2 linked regions of the Notamacropus eugenii genome follow. The protein of the gene in region 2 purifies or fractionates together with the protein of the main gene of each other region. This does not show direct contact. Links are inferred from orthologs where the notes say so. Each region holds a gene or a part of one and is shown on either strand. Other genes may lie near its edges.

Region 1 (8,456 bases), on a different chromosome or scaffold from region 2:
CATTTAACTAGTATGAGGGAGGATGGTGTTTTACAACCCTGAAAATTCAATGTAATTTCAAATTCAGGTAGAGGTGATAAAAGATAGCCTTTGAGATACTTTACAACTCTCACATGCTATGTTGGGTAGGAATTTTATAGGCAAACGGAGGGAGAAAGTCCCATTTCATCCCCAGTATACGGAACAATCAGAGCAAAAGTATGGAGACATAAGAACCGTGCATGTTTAGGGGATAGAAAGTTATCCAATTTGACTGAAATGTAGAGGAGGGACATGAGAGCTATTTCAAGTACTTGAAGCTGTCTTCTGGAAGAGGAATTAAATTTGTTTTTGCTTGGCCTCAGAGAAGCAGAAGTAGGAGCAGTGGATATAAGATTGAGGAGAAAATTTTGGCTTAAGAGAAGGGAAAACTTCTAAAGGTTGCCTTATGAGGAAATGTATTCCCCTTCATTTGAAGTCTTCCAACAAAAGCTAGATGACCTACCTGTTTGGTATGCTGTTGAGGATATTCTTGGTCAGGTATGGGTTGGATTAGATGGTCTATAAAATCCTGCTCACCTCTGATTCTGTGCATGGAAGTGATTAATACAAGATAAGGCAGGAAAAGGAAGCTAAATTATGAAGAGTCTTGAATGCCAGATAGATGTCTGAACTCTCCCTGGGTCTCACTGACAGGTTGGGTCCCCCAGAAGTAACTGTTATTCCTCTCAAGGTTCTAGGGACAATCCCATGAGTGATTATCATTCCAAATGCCAGCTCATAAGCCCCCACTAGTATGCTTCCCCTTACAATCAATTAGTAGGTTCATTTAGTTCTTTAGCAAAGGCATTTATTCAAATAGCATAGCAAAAAACAGTAAGTAGTCACAAAGCATTTTTTTCCAATATAAAGGACATATTCTTCCACAAATACACTCAGAAATCAGGAAGCTGGTAAGAGTGGACATGAACTTAAAAGGTGTGTGTGTTCATCCTTCGTTGCCAAAGAAGACCATGCCATCAGAGAAACGATGACATGACTTGTACTTGTGAGGGAGGGTTGTACAGGTTGCCAGCCTCACTTCTCCTCCACAGCCAACTGAATCCAGTGACTTGATATTCCTCGGGATGACTAGAGATAACCCAGGATGAGACAATTGGGGTTAAGTGACTTGCCCAAGGTCACATAGCTAGTGAGTGTCAAGTGTCTGAGGTGAGATTTGAACTCATGTCCTCCTGACTCCTGCACTGGTGCTCTATCCACTGTACCACCTAGCTGCCCGTTGAATTTAAAATACAGTGGTAATGAAACACAAGTACTAGGGAACCCATATGGCTAGGCAATTCACTATTCCAGAGCTTCTAGGCCTCATTGTCCTTTCTTCAGAGGGTCATCACAAAGTTAACTTCTGGGCCTGCTCTTGAGGGTGTATTCTTTTTCTTCTTTTAGTCACTACTGTCTTCAGCTGGAAGAGTATCAGCATGCTCCTTTCAGCTGGAGTACTTTAGAACTCTTTTTAACTCTTGTGATCGTTCTGAAACTTGGACTTATTCATTTAGTGTTATCATGAGTCAGGTGGATTTCATAGGTCCAGGAAAAAGTAGGACCTACAGAAAGGAGGGCTGTTGGATTCCTGACTGAGGACAAAAAAACAGAAGCCTCTGTGGGTCCTTGTGAGCCTTCTTCTAATGGCCAAGCCTCTGCAATTCTTTGAAGTTGATTAAACAACCTTTCCAATTGTAAGGATGTAGGAAAACTTGCACACCTCTTTTTTTCTAGATGAAGAAACTGAAGTGGAGAGAAGACTTGCCCAAGGCCACATATATGTAACTCAGGGCCTTTTTTCCTTCATTGTTGAGGGCCAGGGTGGAGTGCTGTTGACAAGATCAGGAAAGATCTTTGGGGAAACTGTTCTTTGAGACTGTGCTCATTATCATGCGGAATGGCTCTCCACGCTCCCCAGACGTTGCTATCTCCGTGAGACAAACATGGGAACTACAGAAAACAAGGGATATGTAAAATAGATGTCCTGTAGGCTAACAGTCTTTAAAGACAATAAGACTGGCCAAATCACTGGGACAGGAGACGAGCAGAATGTCACATAGACTTGCAGTTTCTGTCTATATATACCCTAACCCTCGGATCAATAAATGGAATTGGTCTATCTTTTCCCGCCTCCCGTGTCTCTTTTCTTCACCACTTCACCGAGCTGTGTAGGGACGCGGGCCGTCTGCTACACTTCATCAACTTCCCAACCTGAAAGTAATTATATAACCCACTGCTTTATAATTAATATGATTAAATAATATTTATAACTCTGGGCGTACAGGCATTAGGGTCTATCTTATGTGCTTCTCCATAACAATAATAACTGATGTCTCTCTAAGGACACAGCTGACCTGCCAGAGCTTAGGCTAACAAGACATCAGATGTAGGACTGTTTTTATACCACCTGATAAAATACTTAATAGGCTTGAACCTGAGTCCATTAGAACTGCAGGACTGGGAAGTCCTTTGTCTCCTCATACAGTCCTCAATGTGGCCCACCTCTTGCTATCAATGGACTTTCTTCAGTCCATAGCAAACTTTTTATCTGTTCCCAGGGTTAAGTTCCAGTTGTTTCCTCCATTAAGGGCTATGTCTATGTATCAATCTGTGAGGTGTGTCTCTACTTCCTCAACTTGGCCTCAAATTTGCTCAGCCTGACTCCACTTTCTGGATGGGGTGCCTTCTTCACGGAGAGTAACTATGACTTGTGCAATCTTTGGCTCAAAAGGCTAACTATAATACGAGATTCTCTTCCTGTTGGTAGAGACTGTTCAATACCCTGCTTATGGAGGCCTTATAGACCAAGTTGGTGAGAGCTGGAGGCTTTTCTGCTATTCAACTTCAAAAGATACCATGATTCCAATCTTTTTTAACTAGATAACTGCTGATTAGGGGAGGAGGGAAAACACTTCATTCTAACCCTGGCACTGGGGATCTCACAGAGCAGCTGCTCCACAGATTTGATTACCTCCTACTAAGGAACTGCTAGATGATTTATCTAAGGGCCTAAGGGCACCGACTATTTATAATCTTCTTGTTGATTAAGGAAGTTTTAGTTACTTTTGGTACAAGGAAAACTTTTAACAAAACCTTTACATCAGTAAAACGATCCATCTCGCTAACATTCCTTCAGGCTCTATATCTTATGACTTTTTCTTATGATAATTACTGAATCAAACCTCCCAGCACGACTTCTGAATGGAATCGGTTACACAATGGAAATCCTTTGGTTACACAATAGTAACCTTAGGCAGGCAGGTGGGGTTAATGGTCTCATGTAATGGTTCACCAAGTATAGAGTAATTTTAGTAAGAGTCCACATTCTTTCCCCACTTCTCTGGCCAGGAACCCTGAGGTTGCGGGCGCCACCTGTCGGATGCTGGGGATCCTTAACTGAAACTTCTGTATTTGAACAAGAGGCACTGTGTTACTGAGGAAAGGGCACTGCATTTTGAGTCAAGGGTCCTGTTCTATACATAAATCACAAGTGGGAAGGCAGGGGGATTACAAACAGTCGTCCCCAGGGCCCGAGTGGTTCACTAGGACAAACCCACAAATGGAAGACAATCCAACAATTCTGGAGTATCGTGGGAGCAATATTGCTAGAGTCCTTGGGGAGCGGGTCGTTACTTAGTCACAGCAGGAGCAGGTTCCAGTCTTTGGCTTCACTTCAGGTACACAGGCAGAAGGATGCCAGTGATTGTGAGCCCCGCAAGGTGTGATTGATCAGTTCAAGCTGCATTGTGGGTCTGACTCACAAGCTGGAAAAGGCAATTCTGCAAAATCTGATCGATTAGCATATTCATTACACACATAAAATTGATTATAAAAATCAGAATTCCCTCCACAGACCTGTTTTTTACTATTCCACCAATAATTTTGGGCAATTCCTTTTATATCTCTCCGTCTGATCAGCTATAATAAAAGGAATTTGTCGTTTAGTCTAGTTCAGCTCTTTGTGACCCGATATGGGGTTTCTTGGCAAAAATACTGAAACAGCTTGCTATTTCCTTCTCCAGCTCATGTTACAGATAAGGAAACTGAGGCAAGCAGGATTAAGTGACTTGCCCAGGGTCACACAGCTAGTGAGCCTCTGAGACTGGATTCAAGCCCAAATTTTCCTGACTCCAGGGTGGGCCCCTAGCTGCCCAGCTGTAAAGTACTGTATTAAAATCCGGGTTCTGCTCCTGGCTCCCTGCGTACCTTGGGTAACGAGGCACCTGGACCTCAGTTTTCTCACCTGTAAAATGGGACAAGACAACTTTTTTCCACTTCTAAACCTCTGACCCTCAGACCAGAAATAAGCGCTGCGGTCCTCACTCCTCTCTCAGTGCCCGGCGCGGCCTTGAGCGAGTCACTCGAGGGCTCGGTGCCTCAGTTTCCTTCTCTGAAAAGCGGCGGGCTGGGGCAGACCCTCTCTGGGAAGCCTTCCCACGTCAAGCCCGGACGGCAGCTCGAGCACGACGGCGGCCCCTCGGCCTCGGCTCACGACGCTTCCCCTCTCCGTCCCAGCCCGGGCCTCTCCAAGGCTCGCTTTTCCCTCGCGCACCCCGGCGCTCCGCCCCACGCTCGTCCTCCCCCGAACCGCGGCCGGAGGAACTGGGCGGGACGACTTGGGAGGGACTTCCCTCGCTCTTTTACGACAGTACCCTCCTTTACCGTACGGCGCGGCGCGGTTGACGGCGGTGTCGCACGGTGGTCGCGGAGGTCACACAGGAGACGACGGCGGCTGCGGCGGCGGCTCCGGCTCACGGGCGCAGGCTCTCGGTGGCACAATGTGGCGAGTGTGCGCGCGGCGAGCCCGGTGCGCGGCCCAGCGGACGGGGTTTGGGAGCCCGGCCGCAGCCGTGGCCCCGAGGGAGGGCCCTGCGGGGCTGGCCCCTGGCCCGGCCGCCACCCCTAGGCTCTCGCGTTCTTCCCACTGCGGGGCTGGGGCGCTGCAGGGCTGGGGGCCTGGCTCCGGCTCGGCGGCCGTGCCGCGGGCTCGGCTGCTGCAGCTGCAGCTCTTGGGGACCCCGGGCCGGCGCTGGTACAGCCTCCCCCCCCACCAGAAGGTGAGGCCGCCCCCCGGCCCCCAGGCCCTGGTCCTTGACCCGGGGGTCTCGGGCCTTCCAGGCCTGGGCCGGAGACCCCCTCCTCCCGGCGAGTCCTCCCCATCCTGCCCTCTCCCCACCCTCACCCCCACCCCGTCCCGGTGGCTGGGGGCCGGGAGGGGACTGCGTGACAGACTGGAAATGTCACCTGAGAGGTAGCGTTCCTGCTGCCAACTCCACAGGGACGGGCTCATGGCAAGGAGCTGGAGCGTCTCACCGGGCTTCCGAAGGGGGCCCCGGAGCCCGGGAGGGAAGAAGCAGTGCTTGCCCTTTCGAAAGCAGGTGTCCCTTCTCTTTTCTTTCCAGGTTCCTTTGCCTTCTCTTTCCCCCACGATGCAGGCGGGCACCATTGCCCGATGGGAGAAAAAGGAAGGTGAGAAGATCAACGAGGGTGACCTTATAGCCGAAGTAAGTAGTTTGGAGAGGTGGGAAACTGAAAGCATTCGGATCGGGGTGCCTCGGAACTAACTCGGTTGTCTGGGTGGATAGTCTGAAGTATGCCGCAGCTTTGCTGGATGTCTTTCATAAGTCTGTCGGTGCATGAATGACCAAGCTGATTTTTATCTGAGAAGTCTTTAACAGCTTCTTTGATGTCTTTACAAAGGTGAAAGTTTTATTTTCACTTGTGAACTTTTTAATGCCAAATTAAGGTAATAAACGTCAGTCTGGCTGTGAGTATTTGAAAACATCCCATGTCTTCTGTTTGAAGGTTGAAACAGACAAAGCCACAGTTGGATTTGAGAGCCTAGAAGAGTGCTACCTGGCTAAGATAATTGTTCCAGAAGGTACCAGAGATGTTCCAATTGGAGCAGTCATCTGTATCACTGTTGAAAAGTAAATACTCTTGATTTTATCTGCTTGAACATTTCCATGCGCAACAGTTGGATATTGATGTGTTTGAACCTAGAATTGAGGGATGGCTAGAAGTTACCTTTTCCTCCATGACTCACAAGGGTAATGAAAATGTCTATGTGTGTTTTCTTCCCACCTTAGAGCAGAGGATGTGGATGCATTTAAAAATTACACCCTGGATTCCGCAGCAGCAGCAGCCCCCCCCACCCCACAGACTTCCACACCTCCTCCCCCTGCTTCTGTGCCTTCAACACCTTCTGTTCAGGCTCCAGGAAGCTCGTATCCTCCTCATATGCAGGTAAAGTTTAACTATTGAACTTTCCCAAGAATTTGCCTTTTCAATTGATTATTAATTCCTTTACATTTGTGTGTGTATTACTAATCTTGAGGAAGCTTAAAAACTGAAGTGGTTTATAGTTAGGTCTTTCTGCAAAGATAAAACAGTTTCCATATAGGAGTAAATAACAAGCATGAAAACTCAAGCTGTACCCATACCTGGAGGGTTCCTTTCAACCTGATCTCTGCCTTTTAAAGTACTACCTCTAGGTGACACCTTTTCTGTGAAGCCTTCATTGAGTATGCTCATTCCCTTCTATTTATCTGTTTGTATACATGTTGTTTTTCTGGTGTCTGTTCACAGTCCCTTACACTTAGTGAAAACTGAGTGAAGTTTATTCCCACATGTGACCTTGGACAGCTCCTTGGACCTTGCTGAGCCTGAGTGTTTCCATTTGTAGATCTAGTAGTTTAACGCTGCCTTCTTCCCGTGTCAGGGACGTTGCAAGTGTAGTAAATTATAAACCCATAATCAATATTTTGTAGTTTTTTTTCCTAAACATGTTATAATTGAAATCCAGAGACATGTTTGTCAAGTGCCTTTCCTTTTCTTTGTTTGTGATTAATTATGTCCTCTAAATTTAAATGGGATGGTTCTAGTCTTTCAGTAACACTGATGGTTTAAAGTTAGGAAACTGACAGCAACTAATGTGTATAAATTTAAATGTGTAAATAAACATTTGTTTAGAAACATAAGACATTAAGGCCCTCTTACTATAAAGATTTTATGACTTTTAAACATTGAGTTAGGTCAGAGTTGCTTGAAATAAATCTAGTATCTATTCATGATAGATGTATCTCTCATGATAGAGATAAAAGATGGAAAGTATTCAGCAGTATCTTCCTCCTGAAAGTTGGTTCAAACCAATATATCATTTATATGGCTCTGTCATTTGCCACTTTGTAGAGATTTCCAAAGAGGAATTATTTCTATTTTTTGGGGGAGGATCATGCTCCTCCTTATCATACTCTGACATCCCCTTGCTATTACCAGTGAGAAACTGGTATATTCAGTTTAAGCTCGTGTTTCTTCACTCTGCATTGTTGTGTTCCCTTGAATAATTATGCCTCTTTTGTTATTTTCTCTTTTATGCTCAGACTCTGCATCTTAAATAATTCACACATTTTAAAAAATTGTTTTGTTAATCTTAGTAATCAGATAATGATGACAAGTTTTAGAAGGAAGATTACTTTTGATCTGAGTCACCTGGTTTGCTGTTTTTGGGAATATATGAATCGTTATTGTTGTGTTTGTCCTTTGCTGCCAAAGAAGACCATGCCATCAGAGAAATGATAACATGACTTGTACTTTGTTTTGAGTGAAGGAGGACTGTGCAAGGTCACCAGCCTCACTTCTGCCCTGGAGCCATCTGGATCCAGTGACCAGATATTCATGAGGATGATTGGAGATGGCCCAGGATGCAGTGGGAGACTTTGGCCCCTTTAGTCCAAGGCCTATTTGGTTCTCACTTAGAGTGAGATAACACCCATTTAGTGAATAGGCCTGTTTAAGCAGTAGTCAGGGGATGGCCCCTTTAATGAGGCAAAGAAAAATAACTACATCAGGCTGGGAGGGAAACAGCAACAGTTACTATTGATAATCACTCTTAAGCCAGGAGGGTCCAGAAAACAGCCCTTAAAAGTGACCATTATGATATGGTGGTTATAGAATTGTTGTGGTTCTTTCATAAGCTTCTAAGTAGTTTTTAGAAAAAAAATGATAGTAAGTGCCTGCTATGGAAAGTTTAAAAATTCCTGTTGAAAATGTTTTGTGGCTTTCTCCCTTAGAGATCTTGGAAAGATAACCCTGAGTAATTGTGTCAGGAATGCTTCCTTTGAGTGAAAAGACAAGGCCAAAAATTTCTTATTTGTCATCTAGAATACAGGAAGACCTCATTTTCACAGACTAGGTTGGGACCATGATCATTCCATGAAAATAGAAATTGAGTTTATCGTAAGAATATATTGTCATAGCCAGAAATGAAACTTTATACTTTAATTTTTGTTATGCAATTAATGCTGATTGTCTAGGGAGTGATTAATTACATTATGAGATACCATAAGAGGGAAATATCAGCAGATTTCTTAGTCATCTACTACTTTGGAGGAAGACAGAAAAGAGTATTCCCGAGTATTCAGATTTCTGTT
Region 2 (8,006 bases):
AGATTCTGTAACAGTTCAATTTTTCACTGTTTAACTCATAAAATTCCTTACATTGAAATTAAATGAGATCCAAGGCTATAAAGTTGATACAGTTGTTGATCTGTAATAGTTCAAGGAGTCTATTTACCTAGGTTTCCCTAGGAAATCACATGTCTAGCCCTATACATACATATGCAAAATCCATTTAAAATAATGCATTCATCTCATTTTTCATACTTAACCTAATTTATCACTCACCTGAATAACTCTCTAAGGTACTCCTAACTCTTTTGTGTTTGTGACTTTTCTCCCTAAATGTCATTTGTATATAATCAGTAAATATTTGCATGTATATGAACACACCAATAGAGATGTATATACATATCTATAGATATACATACACACAGACACATATATAGGTTTATTAATCTTAATGTATTCAGTAAATATCAGCTATTAATTACTATTATCATATATTTCCATCATGATATTCAAGGTACATTGGTAAAGAATCAATGATATTCCACCTTGCAGTCAAACAAACCATTGCCTTCTAAAAGTCCAGGAAACCCCAAAATTATTCTAATGGATATACAACTACGTTCTATCTTTATTATAATATTCATTTCTGTATCACTTGCTTATGTTCAGTATGCATTTAATAATTTAATTTCAATATTCCAAATACTATGAAATAGTCAACTCTATACCACAGATTGCTTTGTTAATAATCATTCTGTTTTTTGTTTTAGAACTTAAGGAAACTACCAATCTGATATGAAATAAATTTACCAGAAAAAGTGCACTTACTTGGTTGATCTGCATAAGTTCTCAAAGGAACTGCAGAAATCCCTGGTAGGCCATAAGGCATTCGGCTGAAGTGGCCTCTCTTGAAGAGATAAAAAGCAAGTTTCACAGTATGTAAATATTTAACTCCAATACAGTTCAAAGTTGGTAAGAATACTTACACTATTTCTAATTTCCATTGTTATATAAAAGACAAGAAGGATTATCAAAATTTTTAAAAGGGAAAAAAGAGTCACTGAAGTATTTCTTCTAAATGTTCAGAAAAGAAGAGGGGAAAGTTCAGTAAGAAACAGACAGGACAGCTTTGAAAATAACATACTGAATTTATTATACTCTATGAAAGAAAAACAAACTATATATAATGCATATTCACATACCAAAGGAGAGAATTTTAATTATTTTGTATTTATTCTGTATAGATTTATATCTGTGCATGCATGTTGTCTTCCCCAACAGAAGACAAGCTCCTTAAAGTTAAGAACAAGAATACTTTTGCATCCCCAGTACCTAGCATAGTTCCTTAGTACCAAATAGGCACTTACTTGCTTACTGACTGGCAAAATTTCAGAAAAGTACAGCTAAATGTCCTCATAATTCAGTCAAAATCCCTTTACTTAAAATAATGTATTTATCTAATTTTTAATATATTAAGCTCTAATTTATCACTGACCTGAATAAATCTGTGACCCTAACCCTTTAGTATTTTTTACTTTTCTCCCTCAATATGTCATTCATATACAATCTGCAATATTTGCTGAGAAGGTCCTATGAAGATGTTTCTTAGTTGACTGACTATGGAACAAACACTAAGTTCAAATTTTGTACAAAGCACTATACTAAACACCCAGGGGAAATCTCTAAAAGTTTCAATAAAATATGGCTCCTCCCTTCAGGAAGTTTTCAGTCTAGGTTAGGGTAAGACACACAACTATAATACAATGCTACTTTTAACAGGACATTAAAGAGTGGCAAAACAAAGAGATAAGTGAATTAGGAGGAAGAACTATAGTAGAGTAGGGATGATTCACGATCTATCAGTCATCTACTCTGTCAAGCACCGTTTTGGGGATACAAATACAATGAATTAAACAATCCCTGCTCCAAAAGGAAGAAGTGACTCAATTTCCCTTTAAAGGACTGGTAATCAGTTGAACCTGTAAAGAGGAAGAACGTTTCAAATATAGTCCAAGCAAAGTAAAAAGAATATGAAAGTAGTGTAAGATGGAAAAAAATAAGCATGAAGTGGGAGAGCTGTAGAGGGGGACAGGAAGTAGTACAGTTTGGAGGACAAAAAAAATATGGAGAGTAATGAAGTAAGGTTGGATTCATCTGAAATAATCTAACAAAACATAAGTTAAACGGTTAAATTTTACATTTCTAGGACACAATTCTTCAGAAGACAGTATAGCACGGACCAGCTGTACAACTTTCAAAACACTCTTAAGACGTGTTAGCTAGTATTAATGTGGACGTTGAGGCACAAGGAGATCAAGCAACTGGCTCTTATCATTTTGCACGGGAGAGTGAGAAGCAAAACAAAAATTTTAACAATAATTTCTCTATCCAAAATATTCCTTATGACAAAGGGAAACAGCTAGTAAAGGCTGTAATTAATTTTCCCAGGGATCTGAGAAAAAAATAAAACCTCTTCGGACCTCAGTTTCTTCGTCAAGAAGAAGGAGTGGAAAGAAATATGTCTCTTAAGCAGAGGTAGGAGGATGTCTATTTATTGAGATGGTGGTGGAGTGGATTTTTGGCCAACCAATGCCAACCAATAGCATGACTCTGGGATCTCCTAATATGGTCCGCGTTAATAGTTCTACCAGTTCCATTCGATAAACATTTATTATATGCCTACTATGTGTCAGGCCCTGTATTAAAGGCTGGGGATACAAAAAGAGGCAAAAAATGGCCTGGCCCCCCAGGAGCTTACACCCCAGCATGCCCAAAGAGTACGAGTCTTGCCAAGGATGGGCGAGGAAAGCAGACTGAGGCTTGTCGTGTAAATGTAAGAACTAAGTTTCTATCCTGCTGGCATGGGAAACTAGGAGGGACATCACGTCGGTGCCCTGAGCCGCCTCCGGTTCCACCTTTGTGAGATGGGCACGATGGTACTGTGCTGATGGTTTACTTAGCAGAGCTGTGCGGAGGGCCGCCTAGGTCTTAGAAAGGAGCGTGGTTACTCCTGCAGCCTAAGAGCTGCTCCGTCCCGGCCGCCTCTCCCAAAGCGGAGGCTGGGGCAGCACGTAGCGTCCTGGACTAGGGGCTCCTAGGACACAAGTGACATTTAAAGTGGAAGGAGGGAGGGGCTGGGGAGCGCGGCGGAAGGTGGCCTGGCTTCCCCGCCTCGGGCTCCCCTTGAGGGCAAGGCTGGGGCAAGGAGCGTGAGGGTGACCCCGAGCAGGCCGGGAGCGGGGCCGAGGACAACTAGGCCAAAGACAAGCTTTTCTCCCCCCGCCCCCAGGCTGGGTTAGGCAGCCATGGGGAGACACCAGCCCAGGCCGCGGTCCTGCCCCTTCAGGCTTGGGGCCTAGTCCCGTTAGCTAGCCGGCCCGTCCCCGCGGGCCCCCCATCTTCCTGACCATTCCCACCCCAGGCGGCGGGGCTGTCCCTTACTTTGGCCAGGGCGCAGGACACACGGCTCCAGCTCTGCATTTTTCTCCTGGATGACCCGCCGCCGTGAGATTTCACCTCCGCCAAAAGCGGCCTCCACAGCGCCAAGGACTCAAAGCTGCGCCTGCGCACCTGGCCCCTATCCCGACGGCCCGCGGCGAGCTCTCGGATTGGCTGGGACGCCCCGGAAGTAGAAGGCGGGAACCTCCCCCGAGACTGGGCGTGTCCTTAGGAGGGGGTGGGACTAAGGAACCGCTGGCTCCCTTCCGGACAGGCTGGGGTGTTCAAGGAGTTCTGCTTTATCTAGATTATAAATTCCCTTTCTAAGGGAGGGGCGGCGTTCGGGGCCAGCAGCCGGAAAGACTCATCTTCCTGAGTTCAAATAAAACTTAAGATGCTTTAATTCCTAACGGTGCCTGGCACATAGTGCATTTTATAAATATATATATACGTATATATGTATGTATGTATGTGAATGTTTATTTCCTTCACTCTCTCCCCTAAATAAAAGCTCTTTGGGGTTCTCAGTATGCTAAGAGTGTGAAAGGGTCCTGGAACCAAAAAAAATGACAGTAGGAGAAAAGAAAGGAAAAATTGGATCTTTCCTTTATAGATTTCATCGCCTTCTCATTCCCTTGAGAAGGGGGGGAGGTAGTGGCTGACCCCCAGCTTATAAGAACTGAGTTCACAGTCCTGTGTCAGACAGCTACTGAAGGTGTGACCCTGGGCAAGTCACTAACCTCAGGCCCCCAAGAAAACCCTCTGAGACCTGTAAGCTGCAGAGAAGACTATGATCTGCACTGGCAGAGGGAGATTCCAGCTCAGAAATTGTAAAACAATAGCAAATTCAGTCCAAAAAAATGTAATTCACTCTTCCATCTTGCCACAACCAAGACCATTCCTCTCCAGTACACAATCCCCAGTTTCAGAATCCCTGAATTCCTCTTTTGCTGTACAAACAGGAAAAACAAGTCACTCTGGTGGAAGGAACCTTAGTGAATGACGTGTTTTCTTAGCTGAATGAGACCATGAGTTGGAGGTAATATGATAATAATGTGAGAAACCAACCTGTCAGAGAGCCATAAAGGTCAGTGTTAGGTCCTTTCCTGCAATTTGGACACCATTTGTATGGTAAGCAGAGGTGTCAAGCATTACAGCTGATTAAAAATTCAATTGACAGTAATTAGGTAGCAAGTAATTTCCATCTATTGTTTCCCCTCCTAATTCTCCTAAGTAAAACAAATGGCAGTGAAGTCTCTGAAAAGCAGAGGTCTAACCTCCTTTCCTTTCTCCAACATTACTCTCTTTAAAAGAAAATGTTTTGGGGGAACTAGGTGCCCTGTTTTGTTTTATTTTGTTTTAATTTAGGGCCTATCTGTAAAAGCTGAAGAGAACAAGTCAGTTAGACTAGGTTCAGGGTAATCTAGGACATTTATTCCTAGCTGGATCCAGATATCACGGATTCAAAACGGGGCTCAGGTACTCACTAGTTGTGTGATGGCAGGTATAGACTATAATGTAACCAATCATGACTTCAGAGGACTCATGAAGCATGCCCAGAAGTGGTGGATTATAGGTGCAGAATGAAGGATACCTTGTCAGACTTGACTTATGTGTTGAATTGTTTTACTTAAATGTCCTACTTTGTTACAATGGAAGATTCTATGTGCAGGGAAGTCATTGGGAAGTGACAGTGATGTAACCCCAAAAAAAACATTTTAAAAGGGAAAAAGAAAAGAAGCTAGATCACTCCTTCACCCCATCCCAGCCCCCAAAAGTATTTTTACCTTAGTTTTATTTCTGATTTTTGCATGGGAATTTCTTGGTAAAACTAGATAACCATATCTAGATAAGTTATTGATTTCAATTATTATTGATAATTATTTTTTTCAATTATTGTTGATAATTATTTATTTCACTTTTCTCCACCAAGGTATATCACAAGCAATGTATATTGGTTAGTGATATCATACTGTGATGGGCATAGGACCCTGTCACTAAGAACAAGCCAACCATTCCTGACCAAAGTGGCCTCTAACCAGTCTCCAACTGGCAAAATTGAACTCTCTTAGCCCAGGGCAAGACTTTTGCCCCTACTGCTGAGCTGCTATATCTTTATGAATTTGACAGCTCATATTAAGTGTCCAGCTCCCAGAGGCTATATGTGTGACAAATCAATGCTCATCTGGAAAGGAGAAAGACTGTCTTATCCAGTGGTTTCTTGGATCCAGTCTTCAGGAAGACTTATCTGATGAGAATGAACTATTTTTAGAAATAGTTTTAGCTGATCCTCTCCAGTCTTTCCTTATTCCTTCCCCAGCAAAGAGTTGCCTTAGCTTCATGGGCCTGCCCCTTCAGATTGTTCCATGTACCCTGGAAAAGTAGCTCAGGTCTCCCTTGATTGGCAGATTTCCTTTTCTTTGGGATAATTTAGGAACCTCTTCCCAGAAAGTGGTACCGTTGGAGTGTCTTGCTTTCTAAGAGCATGAAGAAGATGAAATTGTTGCTATATAATTAGAATGAATATATTTACCTGGAAGAAAGACTTTGTTGACTTGGTGGTAATTCTGATTCATTGGGTGAGGGTGAGAGTCCTTATTTATCCTCTGTGGAAGAGAGGGGCAGCCCTTCCACAAAGGCCTCTAAGACAGGCAAAGATTTTGTATCATTCCCCTGATATAGATTGCATCCACATATCAAGTTCATTCAAGATTCCTTAGAAGATGTAACAAAACAGATAATCTTATTCATTGAGCCTCTGAAAACAAATATCCATCAAAGCATATATCAAGTAGATGTCATGTTTTCAAAAAGGTATTTACCACTGTGATCAAAGAATGCAGAATCCAGGTCAGAGAGAAATTTCCTCACATTTTCTGTGAAGTCCATTAGATGCACCTCTTTATGAATAACATTGTGCTGGTTGCACCAAGCCTCAGAACATTGATAGTAGAGATCTATAATCACTCAAAGAAGTTTCACCTTTCCATACACATAGGAAAAACCAAGTGGATAAAGAATGTCTATTGCTGAATTTCAACATACATTTGGATGAACACCCTAAAGAGCTTGTACAGTTGTGTGTGTGTGTGTATGTGTGTGTGTGTGTGTGTGTGTGTGTGTGTGTGACACCCAGGACAGAAAGTACAGATAGCCCAGAGTTGCTGTTGTTATTGATGATGATGGCCATAGATGCAGTGGGAGAACTTGGACTTTTTTAAGGTAAGGTCTTTCCCAGGTCTCAGTCTGACTGAGGCAGCACACATTCAGTGATTAAGGGTAGATAAGAAGTGTGGCAAAGAATGGTCTCTTTGATCTAGTAAAAAAAAAAAAATCAGTCAGGTTGGGAAGACCCTTGGGGTTTCTGGTCAAAACAGAAATAAATACTATTTGCATTTACTCTGAGCCAAACAGGGCCCAAAGTATGACCATTAAGTGGTGCTTGAGTTGGGACCTATTGTTGATCGATCAATGAGAGTCAGAGTGAATTGCACTTAAGATTTGGCCCTTAAGAAAGAAATCTAGCCTATAAACCCCAAAATATCTTGAGATGTTTCAAATTTACATTCCTTTAGGCTGAGTACCTGCAGATAAAGGCATGTATGGAAGGAGAGGGGAGGAGCTGTGCTGCCCAACTAGAACATGCTAGTTGGGTCCCCAATGAGGCACTTGTACTACTCACAAGTACTCACAGGTTATTGATTGTCCTTCATTCCTGATGACATCAGGAAGGTGATGCCATGACTTGCAAATGGTTGTGCAAAGTCACCAACCTCACTTTCTCCTCTGCAGCCATCTGGGTTCAGTGGCAAGATATAGATCAGGACAACTGGAGATGGCCCTGATGCAGTGGAAGACCTTGGCCTTTTGTCAGCCCAGAGCTGAACAGAAGAAAGTGATTTGGATTACTTTCAGGAATTACAAAGCTCATTTACTGATCCCAAGCTTCCCATAAAAGTAAAAACTCCTTTCCCTCTCCCAATACTAACATTTTACTAGTGCTGTTATATGGTAGTGAGACATGAAACACTACCCTGTATGAAAAACTAAAAATGAGTTCCACATAGAAGGCAATGAAAAGATACAAGGTGGATGTGATCAGGCTACCATATGTAACCATGAGAAGAAATAAAGAAAGGAGTTGCTTGCCAGCAAGAAGAATTGCTAGTCATATGACAAGAGGGAGGGAACAATGGGTGGACAACCAGAGTGCTCCCTTAGTACTTTACAATGTCAGAAGAAAGGGAGGAAGGCTACCAACATGTTGGATGGATCTCCTGCGGTGATCTTTGGGAAGAAGAGTCACACAGGATAGGAAAGGAATGAATGAATTATAGTCCACATTGCTGACTTCCAAATTAGTGAGAGCAGAGAGTCATTTAAGTTTCTGAGTTTTAAGGCTTCCCAAATGCTCTATACATATTGTCTGATTTGAATCCAACAACAACCCTGAGACATAGAGATATTATTATTACCATTTTACAGATGAGGAAATGGAAATGCAAAAATGTAAAGTGATTTGCCCATGGTAAGGAAGTGACAGGGAAGGAGGAAAAGAAAGAAAGAGGAAAGATGTGAGAGGGAGGGAGTAAATAAGGGAAAGAAGG

What was found. The genes of interacting proteins can lie anywhere in the genome.
Region 1: the proteins of DLD (region 2) and DLAT purify together in Homo sapiens (affinity purification with mass spectrometry; 4 studies listed by BioGRID and IntAct, counting the BioPlex papers as one, with this or other methods). This does not show direct contact. The link is inferred for Notamacropus eugenii from reciprocal best matches to the Homo sapiens genes DLD and DLAT.

Annotation. Positions count from the first base shown.
Region 1 is NC_092876.1:142,177,870-142,186,325, reverse strand, and holds the start of DLAT (dihydrolipoyllysine-residue acetyltransferase component of pyruvate dehydrogenase complex, mitochondrial), read left to right. Parts: upstream 1-4,687; 5' UTR 4,688-4,802; coding exon 4,803-5,081; intron 5,082-5,426; coding exon 5,427-5,528; intron 5,529-5,829; coding exon 5,830-5,954; intron 5,955-6,113; coding exon 6,114-6,270; intron 6,271-8,456.
Region 2 is NC_092874.1:147,497,392-147,505,397, forward strand, and holds the start of DLD (dihydrolipoyl dehydrogenase, mitochondrial), read right to left. Parts: upstream 3,570-8,006; 5' UTR 3,442-3,569; coding exon 3,403-3,441; intron 869-3,402; coding exon 790-868; intron 1-789. UniProt on the Homo sapiens protein: Lipoamide dehydrogenase is a component of the glycine cleavage system as well as an E3 component of three alpha-ketoacid dehydrogenase complexes (pyruvate-, alpha-ketoglutarate-, and branched-chain amino acid-dehydrogenase complex).